2 linked regions of the Alligator mississippiensis genome follow. The protein of the gene in region 1 interacts with the protein of each later gene in a pairwise test. Links are inferred from orthologs where the notes say so. Each region holds a gene or a part of one and is shown on either strand. Other genes may lie near its edges.

Evidence for each region.
Region 2: the proteins of NT5C2 (region 1) and MOB3B interact in binary tests that used the Homo sapiens proteins (3 or more experiments, as listed by UniProt). The two-hybrid records come from large-scale screens. The link is inferred for Alligator mississippiensis from reciprocal best matches to the Homo sapiens genes NT5C2 and MOB3B.

The regions. Positions count from the first base shown.
Region 1 is NC_081829.1:98,821,762-98,832,365, forward strand, and holds the start of NT5C2 (cytosolic purine 5'-nucleotidase), read left to right. Parts: upstream 1-5,263; 5' UTR 5,264-5,271; coding exon 5,272-5,339; intron 5,340-10,604. UniProt on the Homo sapiens protein: Broad specificity cytosolic 5'-nucleotidase that catalyzes the dephosphorylation of 6-hydroxypurine nucleoside 5'-monophosphates.
Region 2 is NC_081826.1:171,265,963-171,275,266, forward strand, and holds the start of MOB3B (MOB kinase activator 3B), read left to right. Parts: upstream 1-5,331; 5' UTR 5,332-5,463; intron 5,464-9,304. UniProt on the Homo sapiens protein: Modulates LATS1 expression in the Hippo signaling pathway which plays a pivotal role in organ size control and tumor suppression by restricting proliferation and promoting apoptosis.

The sequences.
Region 1 (10,604 bases):
TCTGCACCTTCTGCTGATTTTTAGGATCTATTTGGCAAACGGTGTCTTCCCAGAGCATGCTTCATGCAGCACAACTGCTGTAACAAAGGCATGCAGGTGTGCAAGAACCATGTTGCCTTGGCCTGGGGAGGAGAGCTGGGGCTCTCTTCTGCCCAAGTTTCCAGCAGCAGCTGGTATCCTAATGTAGTCAGGGTTTGGGACTGAAATTCTGAGGGGTAGAGCCTAGAGACAACACGCATTAAACCTCGATGATCCTCTATCCACATGGAAGTCTCCTTAGACAAGGAGTTGGATTTTGCCCAAGAGAATCAGTTTGACCGAGTGCTGAGTAACAAAGCAATCAGGTGACTTTGTGGGGGATTTTACTCTCATCACAGCCAGATGGTGGGTGGTCAAGCCTAGTGGTTAGGTCCAGGATCAGGAACTGCAGTGCAAAGTCAGGAGTCAGGACAAAGTCACAGCCAGGGTCTGGAGCCAGTGGGCACCCCAAAATCCATGGTCAGAGAGGCAGAGTGGTGGGCAGGAACAAGCCAAGATGGAGATGTCCCACCAGGGTTGGTGTGCCAGGGTCAAGTGCAAGGCAGTAGGATCAGGGCAATTTGGAAGCTCACCAGGAGACGTCTTGTGCACACAGCTCATTTCTGTCCATCTCTCTCATTTTAAGCCTGGGTTTAGGGCAGGGTCACTCCCCACCAGCCCAGTAGTCAGAATAATGATCTGTACCCTGCTGGAACAGTGATTTGTTGCAACCTCAACATAACCTATTAGAGTGCCACTGATAAAGAGGACCGGAGAGTATAAAGGAAAGGATCTCTCACGTGGTGTGTATGCCTGCACATGCATGTGTGCATGCACTGGGAAGGAAGGAGTGCAGGCACATAGTCAAGAGACTTGTGTTTCAGAAGAGAATCCATGGGCAAGAGGACAGGAAGAGGACCTTGGAGTCCTTAAAAGACACTGCCCCAAATCCCCCAAAACACTGGCTCAGTGAGGAAACAGGCAGGGAAAGGTGTGCAGGCCTTTTTCTCTGGAGGTGCATGTCATGTGTACTACTTAAAGCAGAAAGCGCTTACTTTAGAATCCTTTTGGCAAAGTACCCGTGTGTAAATGTGCTTCAAGAAGCAAGTATTCCCTGAGAGGTGTAAGCAGTAAAGCAGAGTGCCCACAAGGTTGGAGGTCTGGGAAGTTACTGTGGTGTCTAGGGGTGAGCATGACCCTAGAAGCCTAGCACAGCTGGACCCCAGGGTCTCATCTCTCAAGCAGGGGTGCTTGAGGGAGAACCTGCCTCCTCCCAAAGCCCATGTAGTGACCTAAAGCCAAGCAAAGTGATGGGACTCTGGACACTTGAACGCACGCAGGCCCAAGCACAGCAGCCTGGCAAGTGTCCAGTGTGGGGGGCATCACCAGGGCTTTGACTGCAGGACACAGGCATCACAAGCCCATTGCTAAGAACCCCTCCCATCCCATGGGTGAAACTGGCCCCGTCTCCTTCAAACCTCCCAGTGCTTCCAAAATCCAGGCAGCTGCAATCCTGAGCAAGAAACAACAGGAAGAGCCTTGCATCTTTGCTAGCTTCTCTATGCAAAGGCCACCTGGACATGGGTCTTGTTAAACCGCATGAATCCTAGCCACTCCCTGTCTCTGCTCGCTGCCTGGCTTTTGTCACGCAAAGGAAAGCTGCCTCCTAGCTGGACACGCTGCACATGGGATGTACACATCTCAGATAATGTTTAGCACGCCCCATTAAGCAAATGCTCTGGGAGTACGTTTCGCCACCTGGCTTTGCTGCAGAAGTCACGTGGGAGAGGGATGCCTCCCTAGGCTGCAGAGCTGGTGCGTGATGAAGGCAGATCTGACGTGGTTTCCTGCCCAGCTGCTGCCGGTTGGCTTTCAGGGGCACAGCTAGAAGGAGCAAACCCATTTGGAAAGGAAAGAATGAGATTTGTGTTGACGTCAGCGCAAATCTTTTGTGCTCCAGCACTACTGAAGGCAGAGAGAGACATCGTGACACAAATGAAAATGTGCCCAGAGTGATACACCCACGTATGTAACAGCTCGTGTTGACACACTCAGAGTCACCTGCACAGAGATAGTGACACGCACAGAGACAGGCAGGCACAAAGATGCAGAAGGACATGGGCATCCACAAACACAAACAGAGGCAGGTGCAAAACCTGCTGACTTCAGCGGAGCTCCTTGTGTGTGTGAAGTTAGATGTCCTCTAAGTGTTTACAGGTCAAAAATTTTTATCAGGCTTGGATCTCTGTGTCGAACTGCTATTGTCTGCCTGCCTAATCAGCCTGTCTAATGCTGCATGGCCATGCTTCCAGCAGCAGGATGAGGCTCCACAGTGACTGTCCTTGTTGACTATAAAATGCCTGGCTATTGCTGAAGGCCAAGGGTGCAGAGTGTTATGCTGCCGCTTTTGGGCATATAGGTCTCATCTTAACAGAAACCATTTGTGTCCCTGCCTGGGCCTTGCACACTTCTGGAGACGTCCCGGCACCTCCTGGGCTGCCCCAGGCCTGTGTGGCGGAGCTGGGATCAGAACGTGCCTTTCCAGATGCTCTGTTTTGTGACTAATGGCTGAAAGCCCCCACTCCCTCCTCTGTGGGGGGAGGCTGCTGTCATGGGGTGACAACAGAGGCCCAGTTCTGCTCCCACTGGAGACCATAGCCGAACAACCTGGAAGGAGCAGGTTTTATGCGCATGTAGACATGCATGTTTATCGATCCTGCTCCGTGCAGGGGGTGGACTTAGCAGGCCCCTTCGAGGCCCGATTCTCTAGGATACTATGAGTAATGGCTGCCCGTACATAATGCATGAGGACTGATCTCTGTGATGGCTCTGATCTTTTCTCAGAAAGGAGAGTGGGAATCCCCTCATGAGCATTACACTCAGGAGTGCTTCCCCTTGCTCTAATTACCCTTTCACATAAATGTCACAACAGAAATCGGGAATTGCATTGATGTATCCGCCTGCCTCCGTAACCTTTTGTCTTCCTTTCCAATCCCACTTCTTTAAGAAGATGGAACAGCCTGTATAATATGGCAGCACTTGTCTGTGCTGTTACTGGGTGCAGACTGTGGAAATGATCAGTACTTGGTTACATTATTTCAGTGTTATTATAGTAGGTTGTTAAGTGGAGTTCATATACATATATTACAATATGCATAACATGTACCATCATTTATGCGGCTAAGAGAAATGCTACAAATATCAGATGTGTCACAATAGGCAGCAATTACCTTTGCACAACCTTCTGTAACAATTGCCCCTATAAGCTAATAAGTACAATGCAGTGACAACACTTTTCAGTGTTGCTAGTGTGGCCCTTGCTGCCAATTCATGACTAGAGAGAGACACAGGCTTTCCTCTAGAAAGGGGCTGCCCTGTCCTCCTCAGCATCTGAAAGTGAGCATCTGCTCACGACAGCTTGTGCTATATATGTCTACGTGCAGCTGTGTGTGTAGCCATCTCTGTGCACATGAGGCTGAGTGTTGGCATGTGTGTGTCAACACGAGTTATTACATGCATGTATGCATCACTCTGGGCACATCTTCATTTGTGTTATGATGTCTCTGTCTTCACTATCACTGAAGCACTAAAGATTTGGGCTGATGTCAACTCAAATCTTATATGGATGTTATTCATATTTAGGAGATGAATAACATCATAATATAGAAATTATTCATATTCATGAGATGTATATATAACAGGGCCCTTAGGGTGATATTTTGTAGGGACCTATCTCTCTCTCTCTCTCTCTCTCTATCTAGTAGGGACCAAAATATATATTTTGTAGGGACCTATCTATAGATATCTATATCTATCTTTCTATAGATATAGATATCTATAGATATATATATACGTACATATGTACATACATACATACAGACAGATAGATAGATAGATCTTATTAATATATATATATATATATATATATATATAGCAGGGACCTTAGGGTGATATCTTGCAGGGACCAAAATATATATATATATATACACACACAGACACACACATATACACATCTATATATATATATATATATATATATATATATATATATACACACACACATATATTTATCTATCTGTCTATAGACAAAAGATAGATATATCTATATATTCATGATATATATATATATAGATATATATAGATATATATCTCTCTATATATATATAGCAGGACCCTTAGGGAAATATTTTGTAGGGACTATGTAGCCGAGATAAAATTAGACATGCTTTCAAATGCAAGACATTCACATACACACACACCCACCCACACCCACACCCACACACATATGAATGTCTTGCATTTGAAAGCATCTAACTTTATCCCAGCTATGTAATTGGTCCCTACAAAATACCACCCTAAGGGCCCTGCTACACATTCAAATTAATGCTGGCTGGATACCAGCTATAGAGTTGTGACACATTTTCAAGCGCTCATTTTATAGCTGGTTGGCTCTTTTAATAGTCGGAGAATCATTTTTATCCAGCGAGAAGTACTTTGCCCGTGTGGCCGGTCTAAACTGATTGCATGACTGACCGGTTCACCGCGTGACGGTTTCTTCGGGCTCGTGCTAGAATCCCCGCGGAGGTCGCATCTCGTCCACACCCCGTGCAAACCGTCCCGTGTAATGCGTCATCTCAACTGTGCGCAGAACGGGGGTCACCCCCGACACGACACACGCCTCACACCCGAACCCGCCGCGGCAGGCGAGCATGCGACCTTACCGAGCGCCTCACGTGCGGCCTGTCTCGGACCAGCGACCGGCCCTCAGAAATCCTCGCCTGGCCGGCTTATCGCGTGGCGACGATGTGGCCCCCTAAACGAGCCGTGTGACGGACCAGCGAACAGCGCGATGTATGTGACGTGGCGCAGGGCCCTCAGAAATCCTCACCTGTCCGGTTCGATGACTTGACACGCGCAGCTGCTCTAAATGTATTGCACGACTGACCAATGAATTATGCGATGTATGTAATGTCTACCAGGGGCCTTCAAAATCCTCGCGGCGCTGGTTCATTGTGTGGCAATGACTTGGCACGTGTGGCCTAAATGTACCGTGTGACGGAGTGAGCGATGTATGTAACGTGTACCAGTCCCTCAGAATCCCAACCCCCCCCCCCGCGCTTAGGCACCGCGCGCAATTCCCCGCTCGCTGCGAGGCGGAGGCCCCGCCCCCTCCCCTCCCTGCGTGCGGCGCAGCGCGGGGCCGGCACTTTCCCCCCGCTCCCTGGGGCGGGGCGGGGCGGGGCGTGCCCGCGCATGCGCAGTGCGGCGGCGGGGCGCTGCGGCAGTTGGTGCGGGGCCGTTTCCTGGGCGCGCGGCGGGAGGTGAGTGCGGCGCGCGGAGGGGCCGTTGCCGGGGGGACGCGCCAGCCTCGGGGGACGCTCCCATTGGCCGGCCCGGAGGGGTGGGGCGGTTAGGGAGTTGCCCCCCTCCCGCCGGCGGGGGCTGGGGGCGCTGCGCGCGCCCCTGAGGGGCAGTGACGTGGCCCCCCAGCCCCTCGCACCCCCTGGCTCCACATGTCGCCACGCGCTGAGGGGGCTCGCGATGCCCCTCGCCGTGACCCCTCGCGTTCCTAACGGTCGCCCCCGGCTGGCAAAACGTCCCAGCTTCGAGCACCTCGGCGGCGGTGGTCACCCCGGGGTGCCGCGAGCGCCCTCAGGCTTCGCCGCATCGACCCAGACGGGAATCGGCGGTGCTTCGCAGCCCCCCACACGGGAAGGCGGGTCCGACGCGCTCCGGCGATGCGCCCCCGTCGAGTCCGGCATCTGTCTTTCCCGCGTTGTGCAGTCTCCGTTTCGGACGGCAAAACCGGAGATCTTCCACATCGTGGGGGCGCCCGCCGAACGCGGCGCGGGCGCTTCCCGAGGGGTGCCGTGCGTCTTCTCAGTGGCGCGGGCACTTCCCGAGGGGTGCTACACGTCTCCTTGGTGACGCGGGTGCTTCCCGAGGGGTGCTACACGTCTCCTCAGCGGCACGGACCCTTCCCGAGGCGTGCCACACGTCTCCTCGGCGGCACGGGCACTTCCCGAGGGGTGCCACGCGTCTCCTCAGCGGCGCAGGCACTTCCCGAGGGGTGCCACGCGTCTCCTCAGCGGCACGGGCGCGTCCTGAGGGGTGCCACGCGTCTCCTCGGCGGCACGGGCGCTTCCTGAGGGGTGCCACGCGTCTCCTCAGCGGCACGGGCACTTCCTGAGGGGTGCCACGTGTCTCCTCAGCAGCGCGGGCGCTTCCCGAGGGGTGCCACATGTCTCCTCAGGATTCCAGCAAGGTGCTCGAGGGGTGGCTGCTCTGGCATCGTCCTCGGTCCGTTCAGGGATTTTACTTGTGGGATGGGATTGTATTTTTTTTGGAAGGCTAGACGTATATGATATATAATAAACGTATATAACACGCGCTCTGGGAAGCTTGCTTGAACGCGACGGGCTCCGAGCGGCTGCGTAATAACAGCCCCTTCTTGCCCAACACAACTGCGCCCTGCGTGAACTGCGAATTAGATCCGGTCGCTGATTAAAATACACTTTATTGCCCTGCGCACCTGTTAGCCCAGGGAGAAGGAGCGTGGTGTCGCCGTGACAGAGGCCCGATCCATCGGATGGTTATGCCTACGAGTCATTTCCGTGACGGCGGGTTTGCACAGTTCAGACTCTATGTTTTGATTTTCACGTCATCTGTTCTCTCTTCTCTCCCCCTTCCCTCCCTGGTTTGTATAATGTCACTGACAGCCAAATTTTTTCAATGCCATATTACATCTGCACTGGCAACTGTCAGGAAAACTGTCCTCATCTTCTGCTTGAGCAGTTTCGCTCTGGAAATCCGAGATACAATACCATCCAAGTGGAGCCTGTATCAATTTAACAGTCATATTTTGGAGTAGAATTACACTTTAAAACACTCTGTTGTAACTGGTCCTTAGGTCAAAAGAGCTGTCAGAAGTTTGCCAGTTTCATTGCAACCGTTGGAATTTATTCCAGCATAAATGTGGTGTCGTGACACACTGCAGCTTTTATTCTGTCCAGTTCCTTACAGGCTAATGGTATTGCCAAAAGCTTGGTGGAATAAAATACAATTTCTGAGACAGATAAAAGACAGATGTTATGAGATCAAGATATGCATTGTCTTCTGAAGTTTGAAAGTAGCAAGTGTACCCATATATTTGCTTCTGTCGCGTTACTATTCTAAACGCTTCCTGGGGTGTGGATGTGCAAAGACTCAATTTGAGCAGGAATTTGTCAGACAGATTTTCAGCTTTTAAGCAGCCTTTAAAAACATTTTAAAAAATGCTTAAAGGATCAGTGTTTTGTCAGTTGTAGCTCCAAATTTAGGTTCAACTCAAACTTAAGTTTTGCAGAAATAAGTGTTTGATAACCTAAAACCCCTAGAAATAACCATTAGACTTTTTAATGACAAACAAAAAGCCCTCAATTTTTTATTTTTTTTTTAAAGAAACCAGCCCCTTGTGTTTGCAACTTGAGCACCACATCGTTATCTGAAAGCAATGACAGCAAACTTCTTAGAAAATATATACAACCAGTTAATTTTCTTTGCCCAAGATGAGAGGGTTTTTTCTGCATCTCCATCTGGATCGGTATTCATTCATGGAGAAGGAAATAAAAACTGATTCAAATAGGACATTTAGCTTGACTCCAAGCCTCTTAAAGAAGCAAATAACTTTTGTTCCTTTCATACTCTTCACTTGCAGTCCAGCAACAGTTCACTTGCCTCATCTCAAGAAGGGAACATGCAGGTTATCTAGTTGTAAATCTGGGCAAGGAAAGATTCAAAGGATTGGTTATAAATCAGGCTTGCTGTGCTCTGGAGTGAACTGAGTTGGAATCTGCAACCTTTGAGTTCAACAAGAGTGACACGGCCCTGCACAGGAAGAGGTGCAGGGGAGAAAGGTTGCCTGCTGGCAGCTCCTCCCTGAAGACAGGTGCTAGAGACAAAGGTAGAATCAAATAGATGACCTGCACAAGGAGCTAAATTACCCGCTGGTTCTGCAGCCTGGGAGTTGGGGAGCATGGCAGGACCTGGCTAATTTGATAGCATGGCACCTACATGGACTTGGCCATTTAAAATCCATTCTGTTCCGACCCAAACTAACATTGCCCTTTGGTAGATGTTTGGCCTCGTAGGAAGGAAATTAGTTCTTGCAGTCTAGGTTTGGGTGCAAAGTTTCACATGCAACTCATTCCCCAGTCTTAAGGTTTTTCTTCACTGCCAAAAAGGTGGAGAAAACAGCAAAAACAGTCTCCCCGCGCCTGAAGAAGGGCGTTTGTATCCAAAGGCTTGCAAAGATCAATTTTTCCAACTATTTAGTTGGTCTAGTAAAAGATATCACATCTACCCAAATAGCCTTGTCAGTAAAAACCAGGCACTATCGTGTTGCCGCAAGGTCAACTTGCTGAAGTAAACCCCATGCCCCCGCTTGGGGTTTACCCGAGTTCACCTCATGGTAAATGAGGTGCCTTGTCTTCTCTTCATTTTTACCCCAGGAGAGTTTATGTGCACTCGTTACCCTGAAGTAAAAACACAGGTTTCTAGCAGTGAAAATAATAATAGGGAGGGCAGGACTGGATGGCCTTGGAACTGAACTCCTGTCTCACTCTTGGAGGTGGTGACTCTATGTCAGGCCTGGTGCACATTAGTAAGTAAGTGGGGAGGGTGTCCCTTTGTGCTGTTTCTGTTCTTTCTCCAATTTACAGTTGTATCAAGAAAGCACAGAATGGATTAAAAAATGCTTGAATACCTGGCTACATTTAAAGTGGCCAAGGTATCCATCTTCGAAAGTTGACCTCCGCTGTCCAGGCATAGCTTATCCTTTGCACACCTCTAGAATAGGCATTTTCTTGAGATTATTCATCAGGATAAAAGGCCTCATCTATGTGACTGGGGAAACTCATACAGTGCATTGTGGCTGTGATCCAGGTATTAATGGTTTGTATATTTTTAATATTATGGGTCGTCATTCGTAAGGGTGATTCGTAAAATGTTAAGCTCTACTGTGCCCAAGCAAAGCACTCAGTGCAAATTTACTTTTCCTTTATTACTACAAGCAATAGAAAAATACAGAATGTACAACAACTTATGCGACATCTGGAAGCAAAATCCAATGTTGGTATTTCAGGGCGGCTGCCACAAGCTGTTGATAATCTCAACATGCCTAAATAAGAGTAACTGGTCTGTCCCAAACTTCCTACATGTGCAAAAAGGCCAGACAGGTGCTATGAAAAAGCATATGGCAGATTTGAGGGCTTCAGTGTTGAAGCTTAATTAAGGACAGTACATTTTGGGGCAACGATAACCTAACTCAGGTGCCAAGAAATTGAGATGGGCACCCAGTGAATTCTGCCTGCCTCTGAATCACACTAATCGCTGAATAGTTTTATTACTGGTGTGATATATAAAAGAAGGTATACATTAGATAAAGACAGCAATAGATTTGCTGTTATTTCCGTGATACTTAGCCCCCTGCTCAAACTTGTTTTTATACTGAATGGCTGTGTGCAAAGTAGAGTTTTTCACTTCTCTTGTACCTTTTTCAAATCTGGTACAGATAAATAGTAGCTAAAATTTTTACTGCTACCTTAATTTCTTTTGTTCAAAATTTCTTCTGCAGATTTCACCATTGCAATTGCTGATAAGTTACTCCCTTTATGGCAGTCTTGGTAGAGATACAAGTTGGGACAGGATATGGAAGATAAAAGCTTTTTTTCTCTTTGATTACACATATGACACCCTGTATACATACAAGTCAGTGTAATTTTAGGCTCCTGGTTTGCAGATTTTACCAGCCAAAAACAAACAAACCTTAAAGCAGTGAAGGTGAAACTGAAGGAGAATGGAGAAGGGCGGTATTGAGGAGTGACAGTTGCAGCAGTGATAGATCTGTAGGTGTGATATCGGTCATGTACATCTCGTTAGGTCCTCTTTCCATTTTTAAAGTGAACGTATGAACAGTGAAAATGGTATTTGTATCTTGGGGAGACGGCAGAGAGGGAAAGGCAAAGCTGTTGAGAATAAGCTTTGGGGAGTTCTGAACGGTTTCTTTCCAGAGCCAAAATGAAGTATGTTAGTAGGTCCTGGTGCGTAGGAGGCTTGTGCTGCCCCCAATTCTGTAGGTGAGCAGAGAATGTCAGCACCCAAAACTGCTACTCTGGCTCATTTCACCAGCCCACTGTTTAAATAGGAGATGGGGCCGGGGGCAGCACTTGCTCCATTTGTACCCTGCAGTGTCCTGAAGTCATTTCACAATCCATGGCTAATTTAGTTATTTAACCATAAGAGCAACATTTACAGCTGCCAGTTGTGTTTGGAACGTTTCCAACCAAAGGGGTTTTATGCTGAATTTATGCTTAGTAAGCAGATTACAGTTTAACCTCTTCTGGCACAGATGGCCTGGAGAAGACAGAGGCTCAGAATACTCTGAAATACTCTGATTTTTCATTGTTTGCTTACAAAAGCAGTAAGAGCATGCCCTTGGATTAACTGACTTTTGCCCAGGTCTTTGTACTCTAACATCTTGTGTAATGCGTGAGTATTTACCACATAGTGTTTCCCAAGGGCTTAGTGAGGTGGATCTTAGTTTAACA
Region 2 (9,304 bases), on another chromosome or scaffold:
GGTTTCTTGGCTTTCCCAGGGCTGTTGAGTACAGTAAACAGGTTTTCTTTACTGCTCCAGTATGGGCATAAATGAAGATCCAGACTTTAAAAGAATGTACTGTTTTAGCAGAAATACTCTGGACCCTGAAGTTGGGTGCTAGATAGGCAGTTAACCTGTATGTGACTGCTCTTGTAAATGGTGATGCTGACTTTACAGATCCGTATGTGAGCAAATGTCATCAGCTTTTAATCATTATTGACAAAACATGAATGTGAAGTTCTGATCAAACATGACTTGTGTTCTGCTTTTTTACAGTGCAGTTTTAAGATGGAGAGAAACTGACCTTTGACTCCAGGCATCACTTCTAATACTACCCTCCCCCCCCCCCCTTATAAATCCACATATGCACCTAGTGCTTCATAAATTCATAGAAAATTAGGGTTGGAAGTGAACTCAGGAGGCCATCTAGTCCAACCCTTTGCTCAAAGCAGGACCATCCCCAAGTAGTTCATCCCAGTCAAAGCTTTATCTAGCTGGATTTTGAAAACTTCCAAGAATGGCACTTCCAACACCTCTCTGGGTAACCTGTTCCAGTGTTTTACTACCCTCCAAGTGAGAAAATTCTTCCTAATATCTAACCTAAACTTCTCTTGCTGCAACTTGAGACCATTGCTCCTTGCTCTGTCATCTGCCACCACTGCGAACAGTTTAGCTCCATCCTCTTTTGAACCGCTCTTCAGGTAGTCGAAGGCTGCTATTAAGTCCCCTCTCAGTCTTCTCTTCTCTAAACTAAATAAGCCCAGTTCCCTCAGTCTTTCCTCATAAGTGACATGACTTATGAGGAAAGACTGAGGGAACTGCTGTGGTAAAGGATATGATTTCCAACCCTCCCCCCGCCCCAGCACTGAAATACTTAAAGGAGTATAACCCAATTATATTGGTGAAAAGGGGACTTGTATCAGTATATCAATTTAGTCCTGAAAATTTAGGGGAATAAACTAAACCAGTATAAGCACCTTTAACGAACAGAACTCTCCCTGTGGGATAATTATTTGTATTAGTGCATCTGTCACCTACAAGTGTGGGATTATACTCCTTTGTCTATCGGGGTATACTTAAAATAGTACAATTTCTGCACATAAATCAACTCAAAATTTTATCTTCGGCCCCTGTTAAAAGTTTTCATGGTTAAAGATTTTCTGCTGCTTGTTTCATTGCTAATTACAGCTTCAAAGAAGTCAGATGCTTGTGACTTAAGTTGGTTTATATAGATAAGTTTTTCATTAAGATTTGTTAATGATTGTAGAGGTATATGAGGTGGGGTTTGATAAACTTTCCTGTTATCAAACTTGCTGCAACTCTTCAGAGATGAGATTCTGCAATTGGCAGAGTTTGTCCTGTTGTCACTTAGTGAGGCCTAGAAAGCCTATATCCAGATTGGGAGCAGGACTTGTCTTTCTCCAGCAATACAAGTCCTTTTCTTTCACCAGCATACACTTTTCCATGTGCTATCCAGAAGGAAAGTAAAAAAAATCACTATCTTTAAAAGAAAGGCTATAGGAGATGCCACTTCCCAGTAGAAATTAATGGCATTGGATTTTGGGAAGGAAAGAGGTGTATTTGGCTAAAACTTGAGGATTGGTAGTGTTGGACTGATGTTATAGCTGTGGTAGTCCAGGAAATATGCAACAGGCAAGGTGGGTGATATAGTTCATTGTACCAACTACATGGTTGGGATAGGCTTAAACAAGCTTTTGAATGAAGAGCAGTGCATTGTATTTGAAAGCTTGTCTGTCCCAGCCTCTCCAATACTACTAATTATCACGTGTCAGCCAACAGCACAAAATTCCCCTGCCACATGAGAACTGAAAGCATGCAAAGAATTTGAGAGCAGTAGCCCTTTTGTATTAGTCCCACTAAGTCTCCCAACCAGCCTCATCAGGCCCTTTTGAATATCCCACCCTAGAAGCCCCACTCCAGTCAATCATAACAACTGAAATCTGTATTGCCAGTGCATCCTTTTTGTTACCACACTCCTTTCTGAGGTGACCTGTCAAATCCAGTCTTTACTGTATTTATAATATACACATCACCCTGGTATCTAAATATCATCTGAATAGTACTTATGTAGTACTTAGTACACCAGTTCTGTTCTCTTATGTTTTAATGTGGGTTTTCGGGCTGAATTTCAAAAGGGAGATTAGCACTTCACAAAGTGGTTTGATGCTTATGTGTACGTGGTTTCACAGACCTTTTTTGTTCTTGGAGTACCATCTTACAGTGCTTAGCATCTCTGCAAGAGAAATAAAAATAGCAAATATTAGGTAACCATTCTTCATTTTCTACACTTGAGTTAAATTATGTACATGTTTGTATTGTAAATTAATCTTGCTTATACAAGATTTTTTAGCCACAGGATTTTATTTCTGGTTATTCCCTTTCAAGGCAAAAGGTATTTTCACCAATACCTAGCTGCTGTCTAGCAGAAGGTACAGGCGTTTATAGCCTGTCTAGGCAGGAGAATCTGGCTGGATTATGAGATGAAAGGCAGCCAGGAAGACTCTTCAATGAAATGTTATTCTGATTTCAAAGCTGGCTTTTTTGTGGGGCCACTCTTACATTCAGTGACCAGCACAGCTAAGGCTTTGGATAAACACCCTGTGGTAATTCACACTCACTTTTTACACTGATGTAAACTATACTAGGCTCAGGAATAGACATATGTTCAGTTATCCCAGGGGTAACATAATAGGCAGCTAATACTGTGCCTTGCTACTTGACAGCAGTGAGAGGGTAATAAACTTTTGGCCTTTAGCAAATGGCCACCTCAACATGGATGTGGACAATTAAAACCTAAACTGGTATGAATTAATGCCAGCAGTTTTTTAACCCTTATTCTTCACAAGACTGGGCAACTTTACCCTAGTGAAGATGAACTGTGTTGTCTGCCATCCACTTCTTTACAGTGCTGCAATGCTGATAGCTTTGATGATGGACACATTTGTTTTGTAGCTTTCTGGGCACAAAACTAACAATTTGGTCTTTGTTCTTCTACTTTGTGTTACCAGTGACCTGAGAGAATCATCCACATTTATACTGTACCCAGTCCAAATTTATTTTCTAAGGTAGTAACAAAAACCTAGTAGGACAATGCAGCTTTGTAAAATTTCTTCTATAGGTTTTTGACATTCAATGTTTCATTAATCAAAATGACTAAGTGTTGTCAGAGAGAACCTGTTAATGTAGAAGCAGGCTTGCTACTAATTCTTGAAGGAAAGGTGCATCCATAGCTATTGAATTTGGGAGTGGAGTGAGGGGCACAGCCTCTGAATCGGATCTTCCTAGATCTTATGTACTAGTGATTGCAAGTGGGAGAAGAACAGGAGAAAACCCTGTTCATTCTTCCTTTCAGCATCCACTTTCTGCCACTGTGCGACAGGATATGGAGTAACATGGACTGACCCAGTAAATGGCAGTTCTTATGTATTTCTAGGCTGCGTCCACATGAGCGTGGATGTTTGGTTCCCCAGGGACAACTAGCACCTTGTGCCACCGCTAGTTGTCCCTGGGGGATGCATGTGCCCTCTGGCATGTGACAAGTTACCGGGTGGGGTAGGGGAGGCTGAGGCCAGCACTGGGCTGGCCCCAGCAGCCTTACCTGGGGTTCTGGGGGCCTCCTGGGGCTGCAGTAGTGGTGATCCTGCCACTCGGAGCCTGGCTGGCAGCTGGAGCATGACTCCAGCCAGCCATGCTCTAGTTTTGAGTGGCACGTGCTGCCCCCGGTGCACCTCTCTGCTTTTTTTTTGCGTGGGTTTTTTTGATCACTGGATATCCAAGGGTAAACCCCCACCCCCAGCGCTGCTCCTTTGCAGCATGGAGAACACCTGAATGTGCAATACATGGCACAACAGATGTGTCTGTGGCACCACATAGCACATGGCTGCATTCAGCTGGACGTGGCCCTAGAGGCCTTGTGGGGGAAGTTCTTATGAAGGGCAGGACAAGCAAGTTTGTTGCTGGAAAAAATTGCTATGCTTTTCATTCTGCAGACATACACACCCACCTTAATAAGGATCCTAGGCAGTGTATGCACATCTTGACGTAAGGAGTATGATAAATATAGACTGAGAGCTTCTAAAACACTAAGAGCTGAGGTTAGCCCAAGTTTATGCTTAAGGAAGTCTGAGGTAACTCAGTTGTGTCCCTGCACTGTTCACATCACTTGGTCTAAGACCTGAGGTTTGGCCGGGATGCATATAGGAAGGCACTAAGAGGGTTCAGTCCTCAGAGGTTGGGTTGAGGGATAGTTGCAAGTCAGATTTCAGATGTGAATTTTGACAACATAAGGGCTGTTTGGATTTATAGCACGCAGGGTAGATGTGCACCTTATAGACTAACTAGAGGAGATAATATATAATTATATATGTAATTATATATTACATATATAATTGTGTGTGCGTGCGTGTATAAATCTCCTTTGGGTTGTCTATAAAGTGCACATCTACCCTGCCTTTTACAAATCTATGTAATCTATATAGCTATATAAATGTGTGTATGTGTATATATATAAAATCTGCTTTGTGTATTTATGTGATTATAGATTAGATATACACACATAGTAGATTATATATACAAAGTAGATTATATATACACACTCATATATATAATCTATATAATAATAGTAATATATACATAAATAATCTATCATGTATATAGATTAAGTAATACATATTTATATATATGTATAACTATGTTGAAGAAAGTGTATGTGTATGCATATACAGCTGCATAACATGCATAGCCAAGCGTAGGTGGGTTGGAGTGTGTGTGTATGTGTGCATGCATGTGTGTGTGTGAACATGTTTGTGTGCATGTCAGTGTGCAAATGTGTGAACATGTGCACCCGTATGTGTTAATGTGTGCATGAATCTGTGAATGTATGTGTGAACGTGTGCATGAGAGTGTGAATGTGTGCATGTGTGTGCACAGGGGTGTGTCTATGTATGTGTATATCACAGTGTGTAAATGTGTGTTTGCGCGCGCATGTGCGTGTGTGTAATGTGTGAACGTGTGCATGAATGTGCGCACGTGTGTGTGTGTGTGTGTAGGTGTGCGCCTAGCCAAGCTTTGGCGGGCTGAAGTTCACTTCACGCCGTGCTGCGTCCCCTCCCTGCTCCACTTGGGAGGAGCGCAGGCGGGGCGGGGCGGGGCGGCCCGTACTCCCCGCTTGCGGACGTGCGGGGCTGGGGCGCCGCCTCCCCCCCAGTCCAGGCAGTCCCGCGGCCCCGGGCCGGCCGGTGGGGGCGGGGCGGGGCGGGGCGGGGCAGGGCTGCAGGTCTGGGCCTTGCCCGGCAGGGGGCGGCGCAGCGGGTGGCGGAGGAGCGGCGGTCGCATGCAACAGTGCCAGGCACCGGCGGGGGGAGCCGCGGCTGGGGCTAGAGACTCCCCCCGGCGCGCAGGAGGGAGCCCTCGGCGGGAGAGGTGAGTGCCCCGCTCTGCGGCCGCTGCGCGTCCCCAACTCCATCCCGGGGGCTCCAGCTGCGCTCCAACAGCTGTCAAACATGTGGAACAACCCCCGCGACCCCTCCGCGCAGAACAGACGCCCCCCCTCGCCTCGCTCTTCCCCTCTCCCCCTGCACTGGGGGCCTGCCCCGGCCAGTGGGTTTGTGCTCCCCTTTCCTTCCCCTCGGGCTGAGCAGGGGCTGGGAGCGGGGCGCGGGGGTTGCTGCTGGCTGTCCCCTGCCACGGGACAGTCCCAAGGAGCATCGGGGTCTCAGCGGTGGCAGGTGACAGAACAAGGAGCGATGGGTTCAAGCTGCAGCAAAGGAAGCATAGATTGGACCTTAGGAAAAGAATGTCTCACTAGGAGGCTGGTGAAGCACTGGGGCAGGTTACTCAGAGGTTGGGGAATCTCCATCCTTGGAGGCTTTAAAGACAAATGGCTGGGGTCCTGGTTTGAGCAGGGGGTTGAAGTCCGTACCTCCTGAGGTCCCTTCCAACCCTCATTTTCTATGATCCTATGTGCCTGCCCTGGAATATACTGCCACAGCCATGGGCAAGTGCCAAGGATGGGATGGATGGCTGGTTCCCTGCTGGGCTGGGGGAAGGCTATGAGGCAGCCATGGATGAGGGGAGCCATAAGGAAGGGCTGAGGGATCAGGTAGTGCCTCCCCCCTGCTACCGCTGCTGCCACCTTGGCAGTGTTCTGAGCAATGGGAAGTGCTGAAGTAGTTCTTGGAAGTACATTGAAATTCTGGGATGGAAAGGGTAATAGAAATGGGAAGTATTTTTGTTTCCTTCTAATTTTGTCCCAGATTCAGATTTTTTGACTGTCATAGAAAGAACTGAGTCTTGATAGCTTTGTCCATATCAGAAGTTTAGAGATGCGTGGTGGCATAAAGGGGACCACAATTAAATGCAGAGCAACAGGACTGTAGGAGGTAATATTACAGTTTTCTGACATTAACTGCCATACAATTGATGATGTTTCCAGGGAAATCATTTCATATTTAGGGTTAAAAGCTTTGTTTCTTGTATGGATAAGGAGTTCATCATTAGACTGAACAAACTAAACATTGCTAATCATTCCTGTAACTCTATTTTGGAAGTCTCAGAAAACTGCCTTGCATTAAGCACATCTAAGAGAAGGTTAAAGATTGACTTGATCAGTCTACAAAAAACTATGGGGAGAAAAAGACCTCTGATAGCAGAGGGCTTTTAACAAGGCAGAGGCATAACAGGATACAGGAGTTGGTTGCTGAGGCTATGCAAATTCAGATTTCAAAGTAGAGCACACATTTTTAACTGTACAGGTAACTGCCCATTAAAACAATCTGCCTCTACATGTAGTAGCTTGTCTGTCTTCTGGAGTTTTAAATAAAGACTGAGTACTCTTCTAAAAGAGATGCTATAGTTTAGCCACGAATTCTTGGTTTTGATACAGGAATCACATGTTGCAATTTTATGTCCATCGTTGTCCAAGGAGTCAGACTAGCCAGTCACTTTTGGGGCTTAAAATCTACTGATCTTTGTCCACAATGGTGGGTTTAAAAAAAATAATAAATATATTGATTATTTTGCATTTACAAATGAGTGACATACTTATAGTCATGATATCTTTGAACTAGCAGAAAATACAAGCAAATATAAAGATTGCAAAAACTCAGAATCTTGAGAAAGTTACAGTTTCTGTTCCAGCTCACATAATCCTGACTCACTTTGAAATAATAAAATAATTAAATGAACAGCTATCAGAACTGACCTAAGCCAGCATGGTACAAAAGCTAACAGTGAATACTTCACATATATAACTTCCTTTCAAAAAATAGGAAGGCAATTATTTTGCCTGATAGCCCAACAAAATATGAAAGAAAGAAAGACTGTTATCTGGAAATATAGTTAGTTTTTATAAAGTTAGTTATGTGTGACCTTGATTTCCCCCTGCCAATTTTTGTGGTTTACAATTTATAATTGCATTTTCCTGTGGTTTTAAAATGTCTTTGTTGCTGAGTGGAAAAACCCACACAAGTGATAAGGGAAAATGATTGATAGGGGAATCATTGAAATAATCTACACGTACTATCAAATCAAGGCAGCAAAAATATTTTTGTTTTTCTGATTCCTCAGTTACTTAGGCGTTACTTGTAACAACAGGTCTTAAATATTTTTCATAGAAAATGTGTTTTGTAAGTTGAAAGTAGTCTTTTTTTAAATGAAAATTAAGAGTTAATATTATGTACTCTGAAATGACCACAAGTCAGATTTTTCAGGCAATAAAATTCTCTCCATGGAAATGGGAAGTATCCATGTATCCCTCACTGAGGATGAACACTGAATTCCAAACAGGAAATGCAAACATAGGTCTTGTCTATACTATCTATTTTTTTTGCTTATTATTAATTGTGACTCAAGATAACCAGAGTGTTTGTAGAAGTTCATGTGAATATTTCTCTAAATGCCAGTTAAAGGGTGCATTAGCCTTTACAAATCCTTAGCTACCTTGAGACGATCGATAAGTCATTAACTCAACATTAACTTTGCCAGAACTAGTAGGCAAAAATACTTTACTTTTCATAGAAGTATTTCTCCAATGTAGCAAATCAGGAAAGGTGAAACTTCCCTAGTGTCCTCTTACCCCAGTGGTGCAGCTCAGACACCAAAAGACTTCTGGATAAGGGAAGGTCTGCTTCATTAATGTATGCAGGATTATACCTTGTTATTTTTGCCAAACCTTTGGCAGACACTGCTTTTTGGAGTTAAAAGTACAGCTGCAGTTCTGCATAGTTTAAGCAGAAGTCTAGTCCAGTGAAGATATAAGGACCACATCCTACTCTGCCTACTGGGTGCCTAAGTGGACTTAAGTACCCAGATGTGATCCTGTTCCACCCTGCTTGAATCCCTGAACAAGCAGTAATTCAAAAGGAAGGCGAGTCCTCCTCCTCTTTGCTGTTTATTTGAGACTCTAGCTTTTAGACTAAGATGACTATGTGGTAGAAAAGTAGATATGTTAATAGATTTCCAGGGACTTGAACAGGGTGGAATTCAGTTGTACATAAGCGTCTAATGGGTGGAGTACACTCTGGCCCTAGCTGGAGTCTAGCTAGAACCAGCATGTATATTGCCTGATGCATTATACATGAGGAAACATCAACATCATAAGCTGCATTTCAGCAAGGTACTTAAACATCTGCCTTATATTAAGAACAGGAATAGTTGAAATAATGAGACCACCCATGTGCCTGAAGTTAGTTTAGGTACTTTGCTAAACTGAGGCTAGACACCTACTTAACATTTTTTAAAACTTTAAATTGCTTTACTTAGGAAGAAATATTTGTCTAGGAAAATATTAATCTGAAGCATATTTACACATTTACTTCTGAATTTCCATTTTGTTGTTGTTGCTTTTCATATGTGGTCCTGGTTATTGCAGCCTCGTGCCTGGGTAGGTATTAGGATTAGGAAAAGCAGCATGCTTCTTAATGGATATTCTCCACGAAGAGTTAAGGTACTTTTCACCATTTTACTTTAAATGAATGGGAGCTGTGAGAGTGGAGTCCTTGTCTGCTTAGAGGATCTTAACCAAAATATCTAGGTACTGCACAGGTCTGAAATGACCAAAAAATCTTTTAAATCTGACTTCAAGGCTGCTTTGTCATATTTTTCCTCCAGATTCTGTTTGTGGTAAAGTTTAACTCTCTCCTGATTTTTTTTTTTCTGACAAAAAGGATAGAATCTGTTTGTCACAGATGCAATTTCCTTCAGAACCATGCACGTTTAGAGATCTGGATACCTTTTGTTAAGAAAGCAAAGATGGGGGGAATGA